Oryctolagus cuniculus: one gene and its partner. The protein of the gene in region 1 interacts with the protein of each later gene in a biochemical or structural test. Links are inferred from orthologs where the notes say so. Each region holds a gene or a part of one and is shown on either strand. Other genes may lie near its edges.

The links. The genes of interacting proteins can lie anywhere in the genome.
Region 2: of the proteins of CREB1 (region 1) and RPS6KA5, one has a biochemical effect on the other in vitro, tested with the Homo sapiens proteins (3 studies listed by BioGRID, with this or other methods). The link is inferred for Oryctolagus cuniculus from reciprocal best matches to the Homo sapiens genes CREB1 and RPS6KA5.

What each region holds. Positions count from the first base shown.
Region 1 is NC_091434.1:32,262,040-32,266,040, reverse strand, and holds the start of CREB1 (cyclic AMP-responsive element-binding protein 1), read left to right. Parts: upstream 1-1,192; 5' UTR 1,193-1,318; exon of another isoform or gene 1,319-1,434; intron 1,435-4,001.
Region 2 is NC_091451.1:36,524,795-36,529,003, reverse strand, and holds the start of RPS6KA5 (ribosomal protein S6 kinase alpha-5), read left to right. Parts: upstream 1-1,406; 5' UTR 1,407-1,688; coding exon 1,689-1,791; intron 1,792-4,209. UniProt on the Homo sapiens protein: Serine/threonine-protein kinase that is required for the mitogen or stress-induced phosphorylation of the transcription factors CREB1 and ATF1 and for the regulation of the transcription factors RELA, STAT3 and ETV1/ER81, and that contributes to gene activation by histone phosphorylation and functions in the regulation of inflammatory genes.

The DNA of each region.
Region 1 (4,001 bases):
ATGAGACAGCCTTACAAAGCACAGGAGGGGCACTCAAAAGCGGCCCAGGGAGCCCATTACACGAGTGGGGGTAAAGCAAGGACAGGAGGCTGCGACTGCCCACGAGCTAACAGGTGGAGTCGCTGAAAAGGCGTTTACCATGGGTAGAAATAAGCATGGTTAAAATATTGGTGCAGAGATGGCAGGAAGGAAAGCCTGCAAACAACTAACGGAAAGGGGATGGCCAGCAACAGGAAGGAGAACTCTCTTCCTAGCAGAAGTCAGTGGGTAGCAGGGCCAGGTCTACTCCAGAAAGACAAGTCGGCTTCAAGGGACACGACTTCACCCAGGGAGAGGCCTGCAGGAGCGGAGAGGAGACTCGGTGGTTGGCCTTGGGCGACCTGGGGGAGCAGTGCCAGCAGCCTGGAGGCCACGGAAGTCACAGTGTCAGCCTTAGGGTGGGGGTGGGTGCGCAAACCACTGCGGCAGAAAGGCGGCGAAAAGAGAATGAGGCACAGGATGTCGCCCCAAGAAGGGCGGGCAGGTGGGGTGGGGCCGAATTTCGAGCGCCGAGGAGGAGCAACCTCGCTCCGACCGAACCCCAAGACGGGCTGCCCACGTCGCAGGGCTCAACCGCGAATTCCGGAGCCCCTGCCTTCCGGACAAAGAACGACCCCGCTCGCGGCCGCTGGGCAGCCCGCGCCACCAAGGCCCTGCGACGCCCCCCGCGGCCTGCTCGAGCGCCAGCGCCCAAGCCAGGCCCCGGGCCTGCGGGTGCCGGCCGAGGCGCGGTGGCCCTCGCTCCCCTGCCCGGTGGCCGCCGCACCCACACCGTCCCCGCCGTGTTTGAAAGTTCCCGGGCCGGCGGCGCGCGGGGGCTCACCGTGGCCGCCCTAGAGCCCGCCGCTTACCGCCTCGGGGTAGGCCTGCGGGGGGTTTCCAGCCAGTCACCTAGAACCCTTGGGAATTCCCCCACCGGGTCACACACCAACCCCGCTTCCTCCTGCAAATTTCCGCCGCGGGGTTTCAGCGCCCCGAACGCCACGCCGGGGTAGAGAGCGCTCCTCCCCGCACGGGTCTCAGCCCTCGCCGCCCGGCCCCTTCCCCGCTGAGCCCCGCTCCGCCTGGCGCGAAGGAGCCCGAAGGCCTTCGGCAAGTTCCGCCTCCAACGCGGGGGCGGGGCCGCTCGAGCCGCTCCGGGCCGCGCTCGGCTGTTTCCGTGCGCAGCCGCTGCGCACTCGGCACTGGGCGGCGCTGGCTGGCTCCCTGGCTGCGGCTCCTCAGTCGGCGGCGGCTGCTGCTGCCTGTGGCCCGGGCGGCTGGGAGAAGCGGAGTGTTGGTGAGTGACGCGGCGGAGGTGTAGTTTGACGCGGTGTGTTACGTGGGGGAGAGAATAAAACTCCAGCGAGATCCGGGCCGCGAACGAAAGCAGTGACGGAGGAGCTTGTACCACCGGTAAGAGGAGCAGGAGGAGGAGGCAGGAGCCGGAGAGAGCCGGGGGGACGGAGGGGGGACGGGGAGGCGCCGGACACCCGCGCTCGGGGCCTTCCCCTCGCAGGAGGGGCCGCGGTAAAGATGGAGCCTCCGCCCGAGCCCCACAACATCGCCGCCGCTCGCAGCGAACAAAGAATAATGGCGGCGGACTGGAGCCAGCGGCGGCCGGGGCGGCAGCGACTCTGCCTGCAGCCAGCGGCGGCGCTCATGGCGGGGGGCGGCGGGCGGGCAGCGGGGTGGGAGCCGGCGGCCGGGGTGTGTGTGCGGGCGGGCGGGCGAGCGAGCGGGCGGGCGGGCGGGCGGCCTCGGCGAGCTGGCGCCCGCGTTCCCGCCGCCGCCGCCGGGCCGGGCGCGGAGCCGGGAGCCGGGAGCCGCCCCGGGGGAGGCCGCCCGCCCGGCCCGGCGCTGCCCCCCGCGCCGCCCGCTCGCTCGCTCGCTCGCCCGCCGGCCGGCCCCCGCCGCCCGCCTCGCCCCCGGCCCGGCCCGGCCCGACTCGGCCCGGCGGGGCAGCCGCGGCCGGGGAGCCCGTGGGGGGTGGAGAAGGAAGAAGAAGGCGACGGTCGAGGGCAGAGGAGGTGAAGGTGCCTGCCGCCTTCCCGGTAGCCTCCGAGCCCGGCGTGCCCGCTTCGCGCGGGCAAGAGCCGCAGCGTCTGATCCGCTCTCCCCTCCACGCTCTTTTGTGCAATAAAGTTCGAACCCCAAGCTTTCTTCTCGTGCTGTATTTTTCTTGGTGCCCTTTTCCGCCCCCCGCTCCCGCAACGTTGGGGAAAGGCTGTCTTCTGCCCTTTTGCCGCTCAATTGAGATGATGAGAGGTCGTGCTTTTTTTAGGGAATTTTTGACTCTTTCCCTTACTGCCCCCTCCCCCCCGCTTCTTTTTTTAAAAGTCAGTAGCCATGGAAATGCATTCTTTTTGGAAGGAACGGGGTGCTAAGAAAAACATTTGTAATAACTTTAAGAAAAAAAAAAGAAACCTGTTGGGATCTTGTAAAAGGGAAGCTGGTGTTTGAAACAGTTTCGGTTTTAACCCTTTTCAGTTAGGTAGTAACCAGTTGAGGTCTAACATTCTGAAACACTTCGTTGAAACGAGCATTCGCAGACGTACTTTTGTTTTGCATCACTTTGAGGGGGGTGCACACATGTCAGCTGGGTGAGTCACCTGGGTCTCTCCTCACCCCCTACCAAGTTTCCCACGGATCTCTTTATAAACTTTAATGAGAAATGGATGTCCTAACAGTGCTAAAAGTAGACATTAACAGTATCCATGATCTGTCTTGCATACAGTGGGGAACCCCATTCTGTAATTTAAGCCACAAAACTTACTTTTCTTCGTCTTTTGAGAAAAGGGACAGCAGTAAAGTCACTGACACAAGGTTAAAACACCACATTTTTAAAGGACGTGCAGTATGACCTACTTAGATTTGTCGCTCCTTACCGAGTTTCACTCTAGCCTTAGCTTGCCCTTAGGTCTGTCTTCTGAAGGTTTAGTGTAAGATCCTTTTCGGTAGCTGCCTATTGACAACTTGTACTTTTAAGCATTTCCTGATTTAAAAGTGAAGCCCCAAACGGTCGTTTTAGATGGTGAGAGAGATGAACAGATAATTTGTTCTAAAAATACTCACCTGTCACTGTGTGATTGAATTGTGATTGATACATGCAAGGCTTCTTCTGGTTTAGGGGTAAATCCTGACCGGCGGGAGCAGCATTCTCTTCTGACTTTCCTGTATCTAAGTCAGTTTTCTTGTAGTTGTGTTGCTAGTCTTTAAAAGACCACATTGGCAATTTGTCATTGCTGAGAAACTTGAGAAGATGCAAATAAAGGGAATTTCCTTTTTTATTTCCAAACACTGAAGAAGTTATTGGTGGTGGTAGATTACTGTTTTTTCCTTAATAAATTTTTCCTGCAAACCAGTTAGATTTTTTTTCTGAGTTTTTTAAAAAGTTTCTAGTGCATTCCTTCTTCAGTCTTATCCAAAAGGTCTTTAAAATTTATAGATTCATAATTTTTGAATATTAGCAAATCCAAGTGAGATTTCTCAAACTTTTATAGTCATTAATATTTGAACATTCACCAGGAACATGGCATGAAATTAAACCTCTGTGCTGTCCTAGGTTCAGTAAAAATTACAGCTGGGTCTACTTAAATTTTTTTTTTTTAGTGGACACTTGCATTTAGAAAGCTAATGAATTCTTTGTGACATAATTTTCCTGAAGAGTGTTCTTTTGGAACTTAAAACTCTATAATGTTACTACTTTTGAACGACTTTTCCTCACATAACAGCCTGAAAAAAAACTTAACCCATTATGTCCCATTGCACTGTGTAAAGAACAACTCTAAATACTTAAATTGAATAACAAATATATCACTAGTGGTAACTTTGAGATAAATGTTAAGTCATTGAAATATTCACAGAAAATGGAAACTTGGGGCTTAAAGCCTGATTCATGAAATGGTACCTTTTTCTTTTTGAAACTAATTAGATGTGATTAGTGGATAATTTGTTTTCTTCAAAAAGAAATGGCTTTATTT
Region 2 (4,209 bases), on another chromosome or scaffold:
CTTGGACCCTGCACCCGCATGGGAGACCAGGAGGAAGCACCTGGTTCCTGGCTTCAGATCGGTGCTGTGGCTGCCATTTGGGGAGTGAACCAACGGAAGGAAGACCTTTCTCTCTGTCTGTCTATAACTCTGTCCAAAAAAAATCTAAAAAAAAAAAAAAAAAGATGATGCCTACAGGAATTATGCCCAAGTACATACACTTGGAAGTCTCTCCTTTTCCCATTCTCGTATCTGCCCCAGAGTTCTGGTCTTGTAACTGGGCTCCCGCCCTGCTTTCACAGTAGTCCGCCCTTCTTATAAGCAAAGCTAACTGCCAGAGAACAGCTTGGAGACTGCACCTACTGTGTGAAGCTTCCCACCGCGGACCAGATACAGCCTGCGGTGTCCAGCCTGGCACTGGAGGTCCCCGGTGACCGCACCACAGCTGCCCTGTCCTGCCGGGCGGCCGGGTCCAGCACTTCACCCACGCTCGCTCTCTGCTGCGGGCCTAGGCTCAGTTACTGTTTCCGCCTCTGGGACTTGCGTCTTGCCCATCTCTGGAGCTGGTTACCTCCAAGGCCTCCTTGCTCTAAAAGCCTGTCGCAGCTCTTCCCCGGGGATGGCCTGTTCCCTCTGCGGGATTCCACCACCTGTGTAGCTTGGCTTTTTATCTCACACTCTTACAGTATCGGCGTGCACACACACACCGTCGGGTTCCGCGTTCCTCTGAGAAGTGATCAGGCGCAGCAGCTGTGCTGTATGTTATTAGACTCTCCATCCTTTCGGCTCCCAGGAGGAGTCCTGCACAAAATGAAATTTTGTAAAATTTTTGCAAAATTCCTAATGGGAGGCTAGGACTGTGAATTCTTCTAATGCCCAAGAATCACCTGTATTTTAAGTCACTGAACTCGTTTAAGGCTCCCTAGTGCCAATGACGTCTTCCAGGGGGTCACGCACCTGCGGATCGCTGTCTGAGTACCAGAGGTTTATCCGCAAACACGTGGGTGACAAGCGCTTTCCTCCGGGCCCCGCCTCTGTCCACCGTGATTGGCGGACCAATCGTTCCAATCAGCCCTCCCCGCCTCTTTCAGCAGTAGCCAATCACAGGCCTCGAGCGCCTCCTGACTACTAGACACTGTTTACTAACAGATAGAAGCTGGGGAATAAGGGGTGTGACCGTTCTGGGGAGGTCAGGGAAGAGAGTGTCTCGGCTGCGCGTGCGCACCCAGGGAGGTGGGCGGGGCAGAACCTCGGTTCTCACCAATCGGAGCGGCCACGCTCCTCCCTCTCCTGCCTCCCCGCCAGGCAACAACAATTCGAGGAGCGGGGCGGGGCTGCTCGTGAAACGTCAGAGCGGGTTGCCCAATGGGAGCCGGCGTTGGCAGACGCGCGCGCCCGGCGCCCAATAGGCGGTGGCGGGCCGAGTGGCTCCTCTACCGTGCTGGCTGTGGGCGGAGCGGCCCGGCGGAGGAGGCGGTGGAGCCGGGGGCCGCTTGGTTGCGCGGTACTAGCGGTGCCCGCCGAAGGGGGAGGAGGCGGAGGAGCGAGCCGTGCGGCCAGAGCGGGAAACAGACTGGTCTCGGCGTCCGAGTTCTGAAGCCGCCGCGCCCCGGCTGCCGGGGCTGCCGCAGGGGTTGTGAGGGGACGGGTGGCCGCTGTCTCCCGCGCTCCCCCTCGGAGCGCCCCGTGGGCTCGGAGAAAGGGAGAAGATGGAGGAGAAGGGCGGCAGCGGCGACGGCGCCGCGGGGACCAGCGGGGACGGCGGCGACACGGGGGAGCAGCTCCTCACGGTCAAGCACGAGCTGCGGACGGGTGAGCGACCCCGCCCTCTGCCGGCCGGGGCCGGGGGAGGGGGCGCGGAGCGCCTGGGCCTGGCGCGCGCGGCGGGAGCCCCGGGGGTCTCGGGCGGCGGCCGCCGAAAGTTTTCCCGACCCCGCGACGAGCGCCCGTCTCCGGGGATGGCGTGGCCGCCCTGGCCGCGCAGGTGACACATCTGTCGCCGCATCCTGTCGGGGGCGAGAGGTGCGCCGTCCGGGGTCGGAGGGACCCGGCTTCTGCACCGCGCCCGCCGGCCTGCAGGTGGATCCCGGTGGGGGTGGGCGCGACCCCCGGGACGGGCGCTGGGGGAGCCTGTCCGCGAGTGATGGGGAGGGCTTGCTCTGATGTGCGAACGGCGCGAGATACTGCACTTGGCCTTGCATTTCCGTCAGAGGTCTCTTGAGACGCACGTTCGAAGCGCTTGCATTCTGCCGTCCGAGACCCCAGACTCGCCCGAGCGGCACACCTGGTAAATGCTGGCCGTGCGGGTTGTTCCTTGCGGAAAATGGCCAATGTGGCCCCCTCCATCCATCCGGTTCGGGTTTCGTCTTTGTGGAGCCCGGTCTCAGATGTAGGGACACTTGAGCATGTCGGAGCAGACCGTGCCTGCCAACCACTCGGTCGGCATTATTGTTTCAAATACTGGCCACGGCCCCACTGGCGTTTTGGGGTCGACTTCCCCGGGTTCAGGTGGGCGCCTCGCACACCTTGTTTCTGTTTTGAACAGAGTGTGAAGTTAGTCCGGGGCCGGCTCTTTCAGTTTTTGTTACATGTGCTGAGATCGCCAGGTAGCGAGCGTTTCGCCCGTGCCCTCGTGGTCCCCTGATGGAAGAGATGTCAGAGTCCTGCTGGCATTTTTACACCGTGTCCGTGTGGTCATCTGTGCCTCTGTTAGACGTCTTGAGTCGCTCACTCCGTATTTTTTAGTTCCTAACATGCCCTGTGTATGTTCCGTGTTTCGCTCTCAAAAGCCAAGGGATGTTTTCAGAGGGACCGTAAATCTTTTACCAGTCTGCATTTACCGGGTGTTGATGTCTGATCTGTGCCAGGCCCGGTGTCAGGTGCTTTCTGGTTTGAAGATTTTGGGTTTTTTTCGTGTCTTACATAATGATTCACTGATTTATGTATGTAGGGTTGCACTGTTCAGCGGCAGCCCTTCAAGTCAAATGCTCCTTAGTCACTGACCGTGGCGCAGTGAACCGCGTTTTGCTAAATGACCAAGGAGCAAACTACTTGTTACTGGGAGTCAACCAACTGTACAGTTTCTGAATTTTGCAAACAATGCTGGCTTTAGAGAAAACAATGAGTACTGCTGTATTCCCCTCCTCTACTCACAGAGTGAATCATCAGCTTCAAGTTTGCATTTTGGAAATTTTTCTGATAGAAGATGAGATTATACTGAATTCATTAGCACTGTGAACTAACGGTGAAGGGAAGTGAATAGTCATCTTGATTTATAACTGTTGAACACTGGAGTGACTGACCGGATACAGTGGTGAAAAACATTGTGAAAATGTAACTTGCAAGAATCACCCATCTTCAGCCAACTGCACTCCTGTCAGCCCAGGATGCTATAATAGGCACCAGAGTAATTTGATCTGATACAGTCCCTTCTCAGAATGGGGACGGGCATCTAGGCAGTGGGTAACTGCCCGTTTGTGCAGAACCCTGTATTGTGTTCCGTAGGATGAAGGCAAGAAGCAGTGAGAGCCGCGTGCAAGGACATGGAAGTAGCTCCAGTTGGGTAAACCCAGCAGCATGGCGTGCCTGGGCATGGAGCTGGAAGACGTAGTTCTAAGTCCCAGCCCTGACACTTACTAGATACGTGGATTCAAGCAAGTCGCCTCGTTTCCTGAGACCCACTTTCATCTATAGAATGGGAGAGTGGAAGGAGACACTTGGAGCCTTGCGGAGAAGGGTGCTTGACACGTTGAAGGCATCCATCACGTGTTGATTGAACGTACATCTAAAAATCGGGCCACGGGGGCTGGGGCTGTGGCATAGAGGGTAAAGCCGCCACCTGCAGTGCCAGTATCCTATATGGGTGCCGGTTCTAGTCCCAGCCACTCCACTTCCAATCCAGCTCTCTGCTGTGGCTGGGGAAAGAAGCAGAAGATGGCCCAAGTCCTTGGGCCCCTGTACCCTCATGGGAGACCCAGAAGAAGCTCCTGGCTCCTGGCTTCGGATCCACGCAGCTCCAGCTGTAGTGGCCAATTGGGAGTGAGCCAGCGGATGGAAGACCTCTCTCTCTCTCTCCTTCCCTCTCTCTGTGTAACTCTGACTTTCAAATAAATAAATAAAATCTTTAAAAAAAAAAATCAGGCCACAGCAGTGTCTTTAAATCGTGTAAATTAATCCAGCATAATTGGAAAGCAGGTCAGTCACCTGGTGCCTAACGTGTGTCACATCACC